2 linked regions of the Anolis sagrei genome follow. The protein of the gene in region 2 interacts with the protein of the main gene of each other region in a pairwise test. Links are inferred from orthologs where the notes say so. Each region holds a gene or a part of one and is shown on either strand. Other genes may lie near its edges.

Region 1 (8,206 bases), on a different chromosome or scaffold from region 2:
ACAAAAATCTCCCATCTTTCATGAAGAAATTTCAATCAGGTGGCAGGTATAGTAGCTTATCAACTTCTGTATTTGCTATAAACCAGAGTCCATATAGTCTAGTAAATACATTGTGTAAAATATATAGTTTAACTTTATCCCACACACATAGGCATAAATATTTTTCTTTTAATCTGAACCAAGTCATTGTTTTTACAGGGGAGGGGGAGAAACTCAGTCTCAGCCACAATCCTGATAGTCTGAACCACCATACAGGCTATAAAATCTTATATTTTGGCTTCAAAGCCTCTACTCACTCTAGCCCCAAATATTTCCTGGGATCGAGGGAACGCTACAACCTTTCAATGATTGCAGAACTCCCCAAAGGACCTCACAATTTCTGGGGATGCCTGCCATAGATGTGGTTGAAACGTCAGGAGAGAATGGTTCTGGTACAAGGCCAGACAGCTCGGAAAACTCACAGCAACCTAGAGATTCCGGCCATGAAAGCCTTTCAAAACATATCATTTTATTGTTCCCTACCCTGACTCCCTTCAGGGAGATAGGGCAGCATATAAATAAAATGTATTACTTGTGAGTTTTCTGGGCTATATGGCCAGGCTCCAGAAGCATTCTCTCCTGATGTCTCACCCACACCTATGGCAAGCATCATCAAGATGTTGTGAGGTCTGTTGGAAACTAGTCAAGTGAGGTTAATATATCTATGGAATGATGTCCAGAATGGGAGAAAGAATTCTTGTCTGCTAGAGGCATGTGTGAATGTTCCATCTGCCACCTTGATTAGAATTTAATGGCCTTATTGTTCCCTGCCCTGAGTCCTTTTGGGGAGATAGGACAGTATGTAAATAAAATTTATTATTGGGTGGCTTTGAGTGAAACGTCAGGAGAGGATGCTTTTGGAACACGGCCAGACAGCCTGGAAAACTCACAGCAACCCAGTGATTCCTGACGTTAAAGCTTTCGACAACACAGAAGACTGGCCAACACTTCCAAGCCTTGGCATTGGACAATATTTGTATATATTACTATATTGTAAGGCTTTGCTAGGCCTCAGGGCCTTTGGGGCTTCCTTCCTTCTCTCCTTCTACCCCGAACTTGGCCTCAATCCACCCCAAAGACAGAGTTTTATATTTATTTTTCCTCAAGAATGGCTTATTTTCAGGGAAACATGGTACCTCACACTGGTGCCTTTCTCCCACTGAGGCATTCTCACACTGAGGGATTTAACCCTAAGTTTATAGAGGCCTGACCAACGCTTCCCAGCCTCTCCCCACGGCCTTTGGGGCTTCCTTCCTTCTCTCCTTCCACCCCAAACTTGGCCTAAATCTACCCAGAAGACAGAGTTTTATATTTATTTTTCCTCAAGAATGGCTTTTTTTCAGGGAAACATGGTACCTCACACATGCCTTTCTCCCACTGGGGCCTTCTGACACTGAGGGCTCTAACCCTAACCCTATGAGTCCAGAGGCCTGACCAACACTTCCGAGCCTCTCCCCACGGCCTCTGGGGCTTCCTTCCTTCTCTCCTTCCACCCCAAACTTGGCTTACATACACCCAAGGCCTAGCGAGGCCTAAGCTTCCAGAGGCCTGACCAACGCTTCCCAGCCTCTCCCCACAGCCTTTGGGGCTTCCTTCCTTCTCTCCTTCCGCCCTGAACTTGGCCTAAATACACCCTGATGATAGTTTTATATTTATCTTTCCTCAAAAATGGCTTATTTTCAGAGAAACATGGTATCTCACACTGAGACCTTTCTCCCACTGGGACCTTCTCACACTGAGGACTCTAATCCTAAGCTTCCAGAGGCCTGACCAACACGTCCCAGCCTCTCCCCACAACCTTTGGGGCTTCCTTCCATCCCAAACTTCGCCTAAATCCACCTTGAAGACACAGTTTTATATTTTTCCTCAATAATGGCTTATTTTCAGAGTAACATGGTATCTCCCACTGGGGCCTTCTCACACTGAGGACTCTTGCCCTAAGCTTCCAGAGGCCTGACCAATGTTTCCCAGCCTCTCCCCAAGGCTTCCAAACACAGTTTTATATTTATTTTTCCTGAAGAATGGCTTATTTTATGGTACCTCACACTGAGACCTTTCTCCCACTGGGGCCTTCTCACACTGAGGACTCTAACCCTAAGCTTCCAGAGGCCTGATCAACACGTCCCAGCCTCTCCCCACGGCTTTTGGGGCTTCTTTTTTTCTCTCCTCCCGCCCTGAACTAAGCCTCAACCCACCTCGAGGCGCCTGAGGCCTAACCAACGCTTCCGAGCCTCTCCCAACAGCCTTTGGAGCTTCCTTCCTTCTCTCATTCAACCCCGAACTAAGCCTTAATCCACCCCGAGGTGCCTGAGGCCTAAACAACGCTTTCGAGCCTCTCCCCACGGCCTTTGGGGCTTCTTTTTTTCTCTCCTCCCGTCCTGAACTAGGACTCAACCAACGCTTCCCAGTCTCTCCCCACAACATTTGGGGCTTCCTTCTTTCTCCCATTCAACCCCGAACAAGGCCTCAATCGACCTCGAGGTTCCTGAGGCCTAGCAAAGCCTTTGAGGCTTCTTTCCTTCTCTTCTTCCACCCTGAACTAGGCCTCAATCAACCCCTAGGACCCTGAGGCCTAGCGAAGCCTTTCGGGCTTCTTTCCCTCTCTCATTCAACCCCAAACTAGGCCTCAACCCACCCCGGAGGCGCCTGAGGCCTAGAGAAGCCTTTGGGGCTTCTTTCCTTCTCTCCTCCCGCCCTGAACTAGGCCTCAATCAACCCTGTGGTCCTTGAGGCGTAACCAACACTTCCCAGCCTCTCCCCACAGCCTTTGAGGCTTCCTTCTTTCTCTCATTCAACCTCGAACAAGGCCTAAATTGACCCCGAGGCTCCTGAGGCCTAGCAAAGCCTTTGGGGCTTTTTTCCTTCTCTCCTCCGGCCCCGAGCTAGGCCTCAACCCACCCTGAGGCTCCTGAGGCCTAGCGAGACCTTTGGGGCTTCCTTCCTTCTCTCCTCCCGCCCTGAACTAGGCCTCAACCCACCCCGAGGCTCCTGAGGCCAAGCGAGGCCTTTGGGGCTTCTCTCATTCTACCCCAAACTAGGCCTCAACTCACCCCGAAGAGCCTGAGGCCTAGCGAAGCCTTTGGGGCTTCTTTCCTTCTCTCATTCTACTCCAAACTAGGCTTCAACCCACCCCGAGGCGCCTGAGGCCTAGTGCGGCCTACCCGGATGTACCTGAGGGAGTCGGAGCAGGATCCCCGCGGCCTGGATGAGCTCGCAGCCGGTGATGCGGAGCTGCCCCTCGGTCTCGACGTCGAGGCCGCTGCCCATGGAGGGCGTGAAGCGAAGCGCGTCGTCCGAGAGGAGGCAGTTCTCCAGCGTGATGAGCACCCCGGAGTAGAGCCGGTCGCCGATGCGGACCGCGCCGGGAGGAGGAGGCAGAGCCGGCGGAGGGAGAGACGCCGCCGAAGCCGCGGGTCCGCCGCTGGACGACGACGAGGAGTTGGACGAGGCCGAGGAGCCGAAGCCCGGCGCTGAGGAGGCGGCGGCGGAAGCGGCTCCTCCCGTCGTCGTGGTGGTCGCGGCGGCCATTTTGTCCCCGACTGGCCTCTTCCTGTCTCGCGCGAGGCTTTTGTCTCCCCCTCAGCCCGGCTCGCCTCCTCCTCGCCTCCCATTGGTCTCCTCCCGCCGAGAGGACGCTCCTATTGGGCGACCGCGTTGTGACGTCAAAGGCGGGGGCGGAGCGTTGCTTTTCGGTTTCGAATGAAGGGGAAAAAAAGACGTTAGGGAGGCTTTCTCCCAGCATGCAACGCGCCCCAAAGGAACTCTTCCCAAAGGCTTTGGGCCTAGTCAGAGCAGGACTCAGTCAGCTTCAGACTATAATAAGAAGAAATATATATCATTATATTGAACTATTAGTAGTATAAACTCATAATAATATAATGTAATACAATATTTAATAATACAGTTGCTGTATTTTAAGAAATATATATCATTATATTGAATTATTAGTATAAACTGATAATAATATAATGTAAGACAATATTTAATAATATAGTTGCTGTATTTTAAGCAATACATCATTATATTGAATTATTAGTAGTATAAACTCATAATAATATAATGTAATACATTTAATAATATAATTGCTGTATTTTAAGAAATATATATCATTATATTGAATTAGTAGTATAAACTCATAATAATATAATGTAATTCAACATTCAATAATAAAATTGCTGTATTTTATAGTATTGCAGCATATTATATTATATACTATTATATTGTATTAGTAAATGTAGATAATATAATATATAGTACAATATATTTATTTATTTATTTACTGTACTTGTATACCGCTGTTTCTCAGCCTAGCTGGCGACTCAACGCGGTTTACAACAAAATACCAAATACAATAGTCAACAGTATACAATTTAAAACCATAAAAACATAATACACAATATTGGTACATCAATAACAATCCAAAGCATCTCCTGACTAAAATCGTGATCCAGTTCCGTCGTCCATATTACCAATCCTTTAATCATCACATTCATTGCACCGAATTAACCAAATGCCTATCCGAACATCCAGGTTTTTAATCTTCTTCGGAACACCATCAGCGAGGGGGCTGATCTTACCTCCATGGGAAGGGCGCTCCATAGCCGAGGGGCCACCACAGAAAAGGCCCTGTCTCTCGTCCCCGCCAGCCGCACCTGTGAAGCAGGCGGGATAGAGAGCAGGGCCTCCCCAGAAGATCTTCGGGTCCAGGTGGGCTGATAGGCCGAGATACGTTCGGATAGGTAGGTTGGGCCAGAACCGTTTAGGGCTTTAAAGGCCAACGCCAGCACTTTGAATTCAGCCCGGTAGCACATCGGCAGCTAGTGGAGCTGGTGCAGCAAAGGAGTAGTATGCTCCCTGCGCTCCGCTCCTGTTAATATCATGGCTGCCGAACGTTGGACTAATTGGAGCTTCCGAGCCGTCTTCAAAGGCAACCCCACGTAGAGAGCGTTGCAGTAGTCTAAACGGGATGTAACCAGAGTGTGGACTACCGTGGCCAAGTCAGACTTCCCAAGGTACGGGCGCAGTTATATATTACATGTACTGTAATATTACTAATAATATTGCAGTATATCATAATATTCTATATTATATTGTATTAAAATTAGTGTATATTAATAACACAATGTAATACAATATATTTATAATACAGTATATTTAATAATATAATCATATATTACATGTAATACTAATAATATTGCAGTATATTATATATTATTATGTTGTTTGTTGTTCACTCGTTCAGTCGTCTCTGACTCTTCGTGACCTCATGGACCAGTCCACGCCAGGGCTCCCTGTCGGCCGTCACCACCCCCAGGGTCTCCTTCAAGGTCAGTCCAGTCACTTCAAGGATGCCATCCATCCATCTTGCCCTTGGTCGGCCCCTCTTCCTTTTTCCTTCCACTTTCCCCAGCATCATTCCCTTCTCTAGGCTTTGCTGTCTCCTCATGATGTGGCCAAAAGACTTCCACTTTGTCTCTACTCTCCTTCCCTCCAATGAGCAGTCGGGCTTTCTTTCCTGGAGGATATAATATACTGTATATTGTATATTATATATTACATGTAATATGACTAATAATATTGCACCATATTATAATATATTATAATTATATTGTATTATTACCATATTGTTTCACATTATATTGATAATTATATAACATAATATACTAATAATATAATATAAAATAATTGTATGTATTACATGTAATATGATTAATAACATTGCACTATATATTATAATGTATTATTAGAATATTGTATCATATTATTTTGATAAATATATAATGTTATATACTAATAATAATATATTATATATATTATTGTATGTTATATATTACATGTAATATGACTAACAATATTGCACTATATTGTAGTATATTATAATATTATAATTATATTGTATTACTAGCATATTGTTTTACATTACATTGATAATTATATAATGTAAAATACTAATAATATAATATATAATTGTAAGATATATATTACATGTAATATGACTAATAATATTGCACTATATATTATAATGTATTATAATATTGTATCATATTATATTAATAATATATAATATAATACAGTATACTAATACAATATAAAATATGACTAATAATATTGCAATATATTATGGTATAATTATATTGTATTATTAGAACATTATATCATATTGATAGTTATATAATGTAATACAATATACTAATAATAATACAATATAATATATATATTACATATAATATGACTAATAATATTGCACTATATTATATGATTTCTTGTTAGAATATTGTATCATATTATATTGATAATTATATAATATACTACTACAATGTAAAAATTGTATATTATATTTTATATATAACATAACTAATAATATTGCAGTATATTATAGTATAATTATATTGCATTATTATTAGATGATATATTTATAATTACATAAATAATATACTAATAATAATACAATATAATATATATAATAATTGTATGTAATATGACTAATAATATTGCACTATATTATGTAATGTATTCTTGTTAGAATATTGTACCGTATTATATCGATAATTATATAATGTAATACAATATACTAATACAATATAAAATAATTGTATATTTTATATGTAATATGACTAATAATATTGCAGTATATTATACTATAATATACTGCAATATTATTAGTCATATTACATATAAAATATACAATTATATTGTATTATTATTAGAATATGGTATCATATTGATAATTATATAATATAATACAACATACTAATAATAATACAATATAATATATAATAAAATGATTGTATATTGTATTTTACATGTAATATGAGTCATACAATTGCACTATTGCACATTATATTGTATTATTATTTGTATATTGTATTACACTATATAATAATTGTATGTTGGTCATTGTTCTGCTCCCAAGAAGGAAACGTCAAATAGCTTGCCATTTGTCCTGAACCATGAGCATGAAAACATAGTAGTTAAAGTGGCTTCAAACTGCATTAATTTCAATGTAGATGCACCCTTAGTATCTACTTCCAAGCAGTGGAACTGTCTCCCAAAGAGGCCCAATTGATTAGCTGTCCCTGATGGTTTCTTGTCTGGAGTTCCCCTGTCTTCTTTTCCTAGCCAGACAAAGATCAATTATCATCCCAGGCAGACCTTCAGCTTTTAATTTCACAGAGCCTTCTTCCTTCTATCCTTCCAGAGAAGACAAGGCAACGAATACAGAACCGGAGTGTCCACACTGCCACATTTTCAAGAGCTCTTTGCCCGCATTAGGACATATATAATACGATTTGTAGACAGAGGCAAGGTGATTCCACTATAAAAAATGGCTGCCAAACAAGACCCAAACAGTGTATTGTCGAAGGCTTTCATGGCCAGAATCACTGGGTTGTTGTTATGTTTTCCGGGCTGTCTGGCCATGTTTTTTATGTGCTTTTATGTTTTTTATGTTTTTTATGCTTTTAACTGTATACTGTTGATTGTTATATTATGTTGTAAACCGCGTTGAGTCGCCGGCTAGGCTGAGAAACGGCGGTATATAAATATAGCAAATAAATAAATAAATAAATTCTAGAAGCATTCTCTCCTGACGTTTCTCCCACATCTATGGCAGGCATGCTCAGAGGTTGGGAGGTCGGTTGGAAACTAGGGGAAATGGGGTTTATCTATCTGTGGGGTGGGAGAAAGAACTCTTGTCTGTTGGAGGTAGGTGTGAACGTTTCCATTGGCCACCTTATTTATTTATCGTGTCATCCGCAACCAGAACATTGTATTATTGTATTATTTATCGTGTCATCCGCAACCAGAACATTGTATTATTGGCCACCTTGATTAGCATTTAATGGCCTAGCAGCTTCAAGGTGTGGCTTCTTACTGCTTGGGGGAATCCTTTGTTGAGAGGCGATTAGTTGTCCCTGATGGTTTCTTGTCTGGAGTTCCCCTTTTCAGGAGACCCAAACATCCCATACAAAATCTCCAAACACTAGCAGAAAAGAAAAACCTTCTCGCCATTTCAGCAAGCCACAGACCAAATTTTCCAAAACAGTCCCATTTTTAATTTAAGCCCAGCGACATCTTCAAACATATTTAAAAAGGCGTGAGAATATCCCATTGGGTTCCTTTCCATCTCCTTGGGCAGCGAGCAGGCCTTCTTCTCCTCTCCTTTTGG
Region 2 (8,347 bases):
TCACAACTTCTGAGGATGCTTTCCATAGATGCAGGCGAAATGTCAGGAGAGAATGCTTCTAGAACATGGCCATATAGCCTGAAAAACCTACAACAACCCAGTGATTCCAGCCTTGAAAGCTTTCGACAATACACCAGTCTTTCTTTCCCCAAAACCTTGAGGTCAAAGGGAGAGAATTTCTTAGGGTTGTGAGATTCCCAGCTACTTCTCATGAAGGCTCCAATAAATAAATAGTCTACACCAGGGGTGTCAAACTCATTTTCATGGAGGACCACATCCGCCTTATGGTTGCCTTCAAAGAGCCATTGAATCCATACACACACACACACACACATAACATTGTGGTCAGTACTCTAATTTTATATATATAACATAGTGGTCAGTACTCTAATTTTTACCCAGTTTGGGTTCTCAGGTGTTACTGAACAACAACTCTCATCACTTTTGATTATATGCCATGAGGACTGGGTATAATGGGACTCGCAACCCAACAGCACATGTGGCTCTGAGGCTGAGAAAAGGCTAAAGGGCATTTTAAAGTCAGGCACCATATCCACAAGTTTTGTATAATCTAGTCCATTATTCTGACTACACAGTACAAATGGAAGCTTTCCGGATGCTATTGTATTACAGCTCCCATCATGATGAGGAATACAGGAGTTAGAATCCAGCCTCTGGAGGAGGGGCACAGAAAAGGATACAGAGGGTGGATTCGGCCCATGGGCCTTGCGTATCACACATGTGGATTACACCAAGCCTTCTCTGAAACATGGATCACAACAGAGCATCTCATGTTGACTCCAGTTACCTTTGGCCTGAGTCTACCCACTCTTCCACCTTTCAGCTTTGAGCTTGCTCCCTTATCTCACCTTGATGCTCCCTTCTATTTTTTTTCCAAATGGCATACTATGTCAATGCCCTTCCAGATTGTTTTCTCTAACCTGACAGGTATCTTAAGACAGGAGCTGTATCTCAGAGTCCACCTTTACCATGCCAGGCCATGGTTGACCATTTCCTTAAACTGAGAACACCCATTCAGCCAGATCCATGAGATCCAAACATACATAAATAGCCTTCCATATTATGCTGATGTCCTTCCAGATTGTTTCTCTAATCTTACGAGAGGAGCTCTATCTCAGAGGTTCCACCTTTGCCATTTCACGCCAAGGTTGACCATTTCCTTGAAGTGGGGACACCCATCCAGCCTGATCCATGAGATCCAAACATACATAAATACATCTATAGCCTTCCATATTATACTAACGTCCTTCCGGATTGTTTCTCTAATCTTACGAGAGGAGCCGTATCTCAGAGGGTCACCTTTGCCATTCCAAGCCATGGTTGACCATTTCCTTGTACTGAGGACACCCAGTTCAGCCAGATCCACAACCAGATCCACACATACATTAATACACACATATATATAGCCTTCCATGCTATGCCAATGTCCTTCCAGAATTGTTCCTCTAATCTTAAGAGAGGAGCTGTATCTCAGAAGGTCCACCTTTGCCATTCCAAGCCATGGTTGGCCATTTCCTTGAACTGGGGCCATCCATTCAGCCAGATCCATGACTAGATCCAAACATACATAAATACACACACACACACACACACACAGACACCACATGGCCTTCCATACTATGCTGATGTCATTCCAGAATTATTCCTCTAATCTTAAGAGAGGAACTGTATCTCAGAAGGTCCACCTTCGCCATGCCAAGCCATGGTTGACCATTTCCTTAAACCGGAGGCACACCATTCAGACAGATCCATCATTAGATCAACACACACACACACACACACATATACGTGGCCTTCCATACTATACCAATGTCCTTCTGGATTGTTTCTCTAAGCTTAAGAGAGGAGCTGTATCTCTGAAGGTTCACCTTCACTGTGGTTGACCATTTCCTTGAACTGGGGACACCAGTTCTATTATCCAAACATACATAAATAAATACATACATATAATATAGATATATAGATATATATCTAGCCTTCCATACTATGCCAATGTCCTTCCGGATTGTTTCTCTAATCTTAAGAGAGGAACTGTATCTCAGAAGGTCCACCTTTGCCACGCCAAGGCATGGTTGACCATTTCCTTAAACCGGGGGCACCCAGTTCAGACAGATCCACGACCAGATCCACACATATATATATATATATGGCCTGCCATACTATGCCAGTGTTCTTCCATAATTGTTCCTCTAATCTTAAGAGAGGAGCTGTATCTCAGAGGGTTCACCTTCACCATGCCATGCCATTGTTGACCATTTTCTTGAACTGGGGATGCCCAGTTCAGCCAGATCCATGACCAGATCCAAACATACAAACACACACACACACACATGGCCTTCCATACTATGCTGATGTCCTTCTGGATAGTTTCTCTGAACTTAAGAAAGGAGTTGTATCTCAGAGGGTCCACCTTCACCGTGGTTAACCATTTCCTTGAACTGGGAACAGCCACATCTATGATCCATACATACATACACACATACATGTATGTATATATATCTAGCCTTCCATACTATGCCGATGTCCTTCCACAATTGTTCCTCTAATCTTAAGAGAGGAGTTGTATCTCAGAGGGTCCACCTTCACCGTGGTTAACCATTTCCTTGAACCGGGGACACCCAGTTCAGCCAGATCTTTTATCTAAACATACATAAATATATAAATACATACATATAATATAGATATATATTTAGCCTTCCATACTATACTGATGTCCTTCCAGATTTGTTCCTCTAATCTTAAGAGAGGAGCTGTATCTCAGAGGGTCCACCTTCACCATTCCAAGCCATGGTTGACCATTCATATGCAGAACATCTCAGCCAGATCCATGCATACATAACTACACATAACTATATATATGTATGTATGTAGTTATGTATGTGCATGGATCTGGCTGAGATGTTCTGGGTGTGAATGGTCAACCATGGCTTGAAATGGTTAAGGTGGACCCTCTGAGATACAGCTCCTCTCAGATAGATAGATAGATAGATAGATAGGATATAGATATATATACAAAGACTCCCAGCTGACCCCTTACCTGCAGACGGTGATGAGGTTCTTCCTCTCCACCGCAATGTTCCGGGAGGAGACCTTCTTGGAGGAGAGCCCCAGCGCCATGGTGGACTGGAGGCAGCTGGGTTCCATCCAGGGGAGGGATCTTCTGGATCGGCCGGGCGCCGCTACCACCCGCTTGCCTTCCTCTTCCTCCTCCTCCCCCTCCCCTCCCCCTCCCCCTCTTCCCTCCTCCTCCTCCTCCTCCCCACCACCCCCTCCCCTCCCCCGGCCCCTCCTTCCCGCCCTCCCCCAGAAGACGAGGCGTTGGGTGAGCCTCCCCCAAGATCGGATGGCTCGGAAGTATCGGCCTCCTCTCTCTCGTCCTAAAATTAGCTCCAGCCCCCTTTCTTGGAGGGATCAAGGGAGGCGGTGGGGAGGGAAGGGGGTGCTGGGAAAGCCGCCAAAGAGGAGATCGGGGTCGGAGGAGGACCAGGAAAGGGAGGGAGGGCGGGGGGAGAGAGGGAGGAGGGCAGGCCGGGAGGAGCTCTCCTTGGTGCTGATTGAAAAGCCGGCCCTCCTCCTTCCTCGAAGAGGAAGCAGCCCCCTCCCTTTGGAGGCCGGTGACGTCATGGCTGGTGATGGGAAGGAGTTGGGAAAGGGAGGGAGGGGGAGACAGGAAGGGATCGAGGGAGAGGAAAGGGATCAGACTACAACTCCCATGATTCTTGATTGTGGGGGGATGTATGGGAGTTATAATCCAATCCATCAGAAGGCAGCTTTCAATAAAGGATGTCCAATGCCTTGAAACTTTGACTGTGTGGATCATAATAAATTGTGGCAAGTTCTTGGTGGGATGGGCGTACCAAGCCACCTTGTCTCTCTTCTGAGGAATCTGTACAAGGACCAAGTCGCAACAGTCAGAACTGACCATAGAACAACAGACTGGTTCAAGATTGGGAAAGGCGTACGGCAAGGCTGCATCCTCTCACCCAACCTTTTAAACTTGTATGCAGAACACATCGTGCGATGTGCGGGGCTGGATGAATGCAAAGCTGGGGTGAAAATGGCTGGAAGAAACATTAACAACCTCAGATATGCAGATGACGCCACTCTGATGGTCGAAAGTGAGGAGGAGCTGAGGAGCCTTCTAATCAAGGTGAAAGAAGAAAGCACAAAAGCTGGGTTGCAGCTAAACATAAAAAAACCAAGATTATGGCAACAAGAAGGATTGACAACTGGGAAATAGAGGGAGAAAACGTGGAGGCCGTGACAGACTTTGTATTTCTGGGCGCAAAGATTACTGCAGATGCAGACTGTGGCCAGGAAATCAGAAGACGCTTACTTCTTGGGAGGAGAGCAATGTCCAATCTCGATAAAATAGTAAAGAGTAGAGACATCACACTGGCAACAAACATCCGCATAGTCAAAGCCATGGTATTCCCTGTAGTAACCTACGGATGTGAGAGCTGGACCTTAGGGAAGGCTGAGCGAAGGAAGATCGATGCTTTTGAGCTGTGGTGTTGGAGGAAAGTTCTGAGAGTGCCTTCGTCTGCGAGAAGATCCAACCAGTCCATCCTCCAGGAAATAACACCCAACTGCTCACTGGAGGGAAGGATACTAGAGACAAAGCTGAAGTACTTTGGCCACATCGTGAGGAGACAGCAAAGCCTAGAGAAGACAATTATGCTGGGGAAAGTGGAAGGCAAAAGGAAGAGGGGCCAACCAAGGGCAAGATGGATGGATGGCATCATTGAAGTGACTGCTGACCTTGAAGGAGCTGTGGGTGGTGACGGCCAACAGGGAGCTCTGGCATGGGCTGGTCCATGAGGTCACGAAGAGTCGGAGACGACTAAACGAATGAACAACAACAATGCCTTGAAAAAGAGCCATCCCTGTTATCCCTCCCTGCCCATTCTTTTCAGGCATTCATACAGTTGGACCTTCGAATCCACGGATTCTGTATCCACGGATCCAACCACCCAGAGATTGAAAATATTATCCTCCACCACCCAAACCCCCCCCCCCCAAAAAAACCACACCTTGATTTTGCCATTTGATGTAAAAAAAAGCATTTTCTTCTACCCTTCCACACAGCTGAATAAAATCCCACATTATCCTCTCTGAACTGGAATATATTTTATTTATTTAAAACGTTGATATTCCTCCCTGCTCACCCCAAAGGGGACTCAGGGAAGAGCACAGCATATTTATATATTTATTTACAGTATTTATATTCCACCCTTCTCACCCCGCAGAGGGCTCAGGGCGGATTACAATGTGCATATACATGGCAAACATTCAGTGCCATTTATTTATCGTGTTAGGGGCAACCAGACCATTGTATTACATTTCTAACAGAACAAAACAACCAAACAAATTTAAAAAACCACAAAGTTTGCAAGCTTGGGAGTTGATTAAATGTCCTTTGACCATTATCTGGCCACTTGGAGTGCCTCTGGTGTTGCTGCAAGAAGGTCCTCCATGGTGCATGTGGCGGGGTTCAGGTTGCATTGCAGCAGATGGTCAGTGGTTTGCTCTTCTCCACACTCACATGTCGAGGATTCCACTTTGTATCCCCATTTCTTAAGATTGACTCTGCATCTTGTGGTGCCAGAGCGCAGTCTGTTCAGCACCTTCCAAGTCGCCCAGTTTTCTGTGTGCCCAGGGGGGAGTCTCTCATTTGGTATCAGCCATTGATTGAGGTTCTGGGTTTTGGACTTTTGGACTCTCGCTTGCTGAGGTGTTCCAGCGAGTGTCTCTGTAGATCCTAGAAAACTATTTCTAGATTTAAGTCGTTGACATGCTGGCTGATACCCAAACAAGGGATGAGCTGGAGATGTCTCTGCCTTGGTCCTTTCACTATTAGCTGCTACTTCCCGGCAGATGTCAGGTGGTGCAATACCAACTAAGTAGTGTAATTTCTCCAGTGGTGTAGGGCGCAGATACCCCGTGATAATGCGGCATGTCTCATTAAGAGCCATAGACACACAACATATATAGACAGACACTCAGAGGCTACTTAACATTCCAGCTACTGGCCACCAGGTGAGCTGTCACTTCACCGTCCATTTGTGACACTGATGAAGTACTTCCTCGTTCTCTGCATACTTCCTGGAGATTTTTATGGCTTCGTAAATCAGTTAAATTAGCCTCCCCACATAAATGGTACCTAAATTTCCTACTTGACAGATGCAACTGTCTTTCGGGCTGCAAAGGTCGACAACAAGCTACACAATTTTGGTCGGGAGCTCACTCCGACCCGGGCTGGCTTCGAACTCATGACCTTTCTGTCAGTATTGATCTTAATACAACTGACTCCCAGCCAGCTGTACCACATATATGGCCAACGTTCAATGCTGTGACATGGATTCATATACGGATACATAAATATGAAAAACTTTTATTTCAATATTAAAATACACAATTTAAAACCATCCTGGTCATTAGTGTCAAATCTAATTGGCCTGGTAATCTTTCCTACTGCTGCTTTATTGCCCTGTCCTGAACCTTGGTCCCACAGCCAAGTTTTTACCATCCTTCTGAAGGACAGGAGGGAGGGGGCCGACCTGATCTCACCAGGAAGGGAGCTTCATAGCCAGGGGGCCATCACCGAGAAGGCCCTGTCTCTCAACCCTACCAATTGCGCCTGTGACAATAATGAAAAGGAAAGCAGGGCCTCCCCGGAGGATCTTAATCTCCGCAGTGTGGCAGTGTGGACTCAGATAATCCTGTTCAAAGCAGATATTGTGGGATTTTCTACCTTGATATTCTGGGTTATATGGCTGTATGGGGAGCCCCGGGTGGCACACCAGGTTAAACCACAGAGCTGCTGAACTTGCTGACTGAAAAGTCCATAGTTTGAAAGGTTGGCAATTCGAATCCGGGAAGTGGAGTGAGCTCCCACTGTTAGGCCCAGCTTCTGCCAACCTAGCAGTTCAAAAACATGCAAATGTGAGTAGATCAATAGGTACCACTCCTGTGGAAAGGTAACAGCATTCCATACAGTCATACCAGCCACATGACCTTGGAGTTGTCTACAGACAACACTAGCTCTTCGGCTTAGAAATGGAGATGAGCACCAACCCCCAGAATTGGACATGACTGGACTTAATGTCAGGAGAAACCTTTACCTTTACTTATGGCTGTGTGAAAGGGCCCTATGTAACATGATTTCTATTCCTGATTATAAATACAATTTCCTAATTGGTTCTATCTAAGGTTCTGTTTTATTATTCCGATGGAGGCCACTAGGGGGCACTAAAGAGAGAAAGATAGTCCATTTTACAGGGGGAAGGAGTTGAAGGAGGAAAACCATTTCCCCTTGTTTTCAGTGGTGATTCCCCCTCCCTGCTTTCCATTTCATAAACCTTTCCACAACAGGGACATAGGTTGAAGGAATAACAGGAAAATAGGAGGAAGTAGTTTTCCTTCTTCAACCCACCCTCCATGTCCATAAAATGGACTATCCTTTTCTCTCTAGCACCCCCTAGTGGCCTCCGGCCAGATAATGACACAGTATCCCATTTCCTTCTGCCATGATGTAACACACTTTTTGTTCCTGAATTATAAATGTCATTTCTTAATTGCTTCTATCATAAAAACATGGTAAAAACATGGATGCACCGTATGCTAAAACAGTGTTTCAGAGAGGAAAGATTATAGACAAAAGTGGATAACATTATGTAACACATTTTTCCTGGGTTATAAATGTCATTTCCTAATTGTTTCTATCATAAAAACATGGGGGAAGTTTATTAAACTGCAAAAAAATCTGCAGCACATTTTGCAATAGTTTTTCAATAAATATCTCCTAAAATGTGGATCAAGTTCTTGGTGGTATGAGGATACAAAGCCACCTTGTCTGTCTCCTGAGGAATCTGTATAATGACCAAGTAGCAATAGTAAGAACTGACCATGGAAAAACAGACTGCGATAGGCGTATGGCAGGGTTGTATATTCTCACCCAACCTATTCAACTTGTATGCAGAACACATCATGCAATGGGCAGGGCTTGATGAATCCAAGGCTGGGGTTAAAATTGCTGGAAGAAACATTATTATTATTATTTATTTATTTGCTTTATTTTTATACCGCATTTTTCAGCCTAATTCGGCGACTCAATGCGGTTTACAGTACAATTTATATAACAATCACAATTAGTTAAAACACAACATACATAACAGACAATACAAACAACACAACATAGTCATCAACGCCTCAGTGAAAATCAAATTCCGTTCTCATAATCCTTCTACCATTTCCTTGTTCATTTATACCGTCTTCCTGAGTTCAGTTGCATTGTTAGCCGAACGCTTGTTCATAGAGCCACGTC

Evidence for each region. The genes of interacting proteins can lie anywhere in the genome.
Region 1: the proteins of RUNDC3A (region 2) and CCNL2 interact in binary tests that used the Homo sapiens proteins (3 or more experiments, as listed by UniProt). The two-hybrid records come from large-scale screens. The link is inferred for Anolis sagrei from reciprocal best matches to the Homo sapiens genes RUNDC3A and CCNL2.

The regions. Positions count from the first base shown.
Region 1 is NC_090033.1:5,457,256-5,465,461, forward strand, and holds the start of CCNL2 (cyclin-L2), read right to left. Parts: upstream 3,594-8,206; 5' UTR 3,568-3,593; coding exon 3,211-3,567; intron 1-3,210. Other genes in the region: MRPL20 (large ribosomal subunit protein bL20m), read right to left, coding at 8,115-8,206. UniProt on the Homo sapiens protein: Involved in pre-mRNA splicing. May induce cell death, possibly by acting on the transcription and RNA processing of apoptosis-related factors.
Region 2 is NC_090026.1:44,452,385-44,460,731, forward strand, and holds the start of RUNDC3A (RUN domain-containing protein 3A), read right to left. Parts: upstream 3,252-8,347; 5' UTR 3,166-3,251; coding exon 3,059-3,165; intron 1-3,058. UniProt on the Homo sapiens protein: May act as an effector of RAP2A in neuronal cells.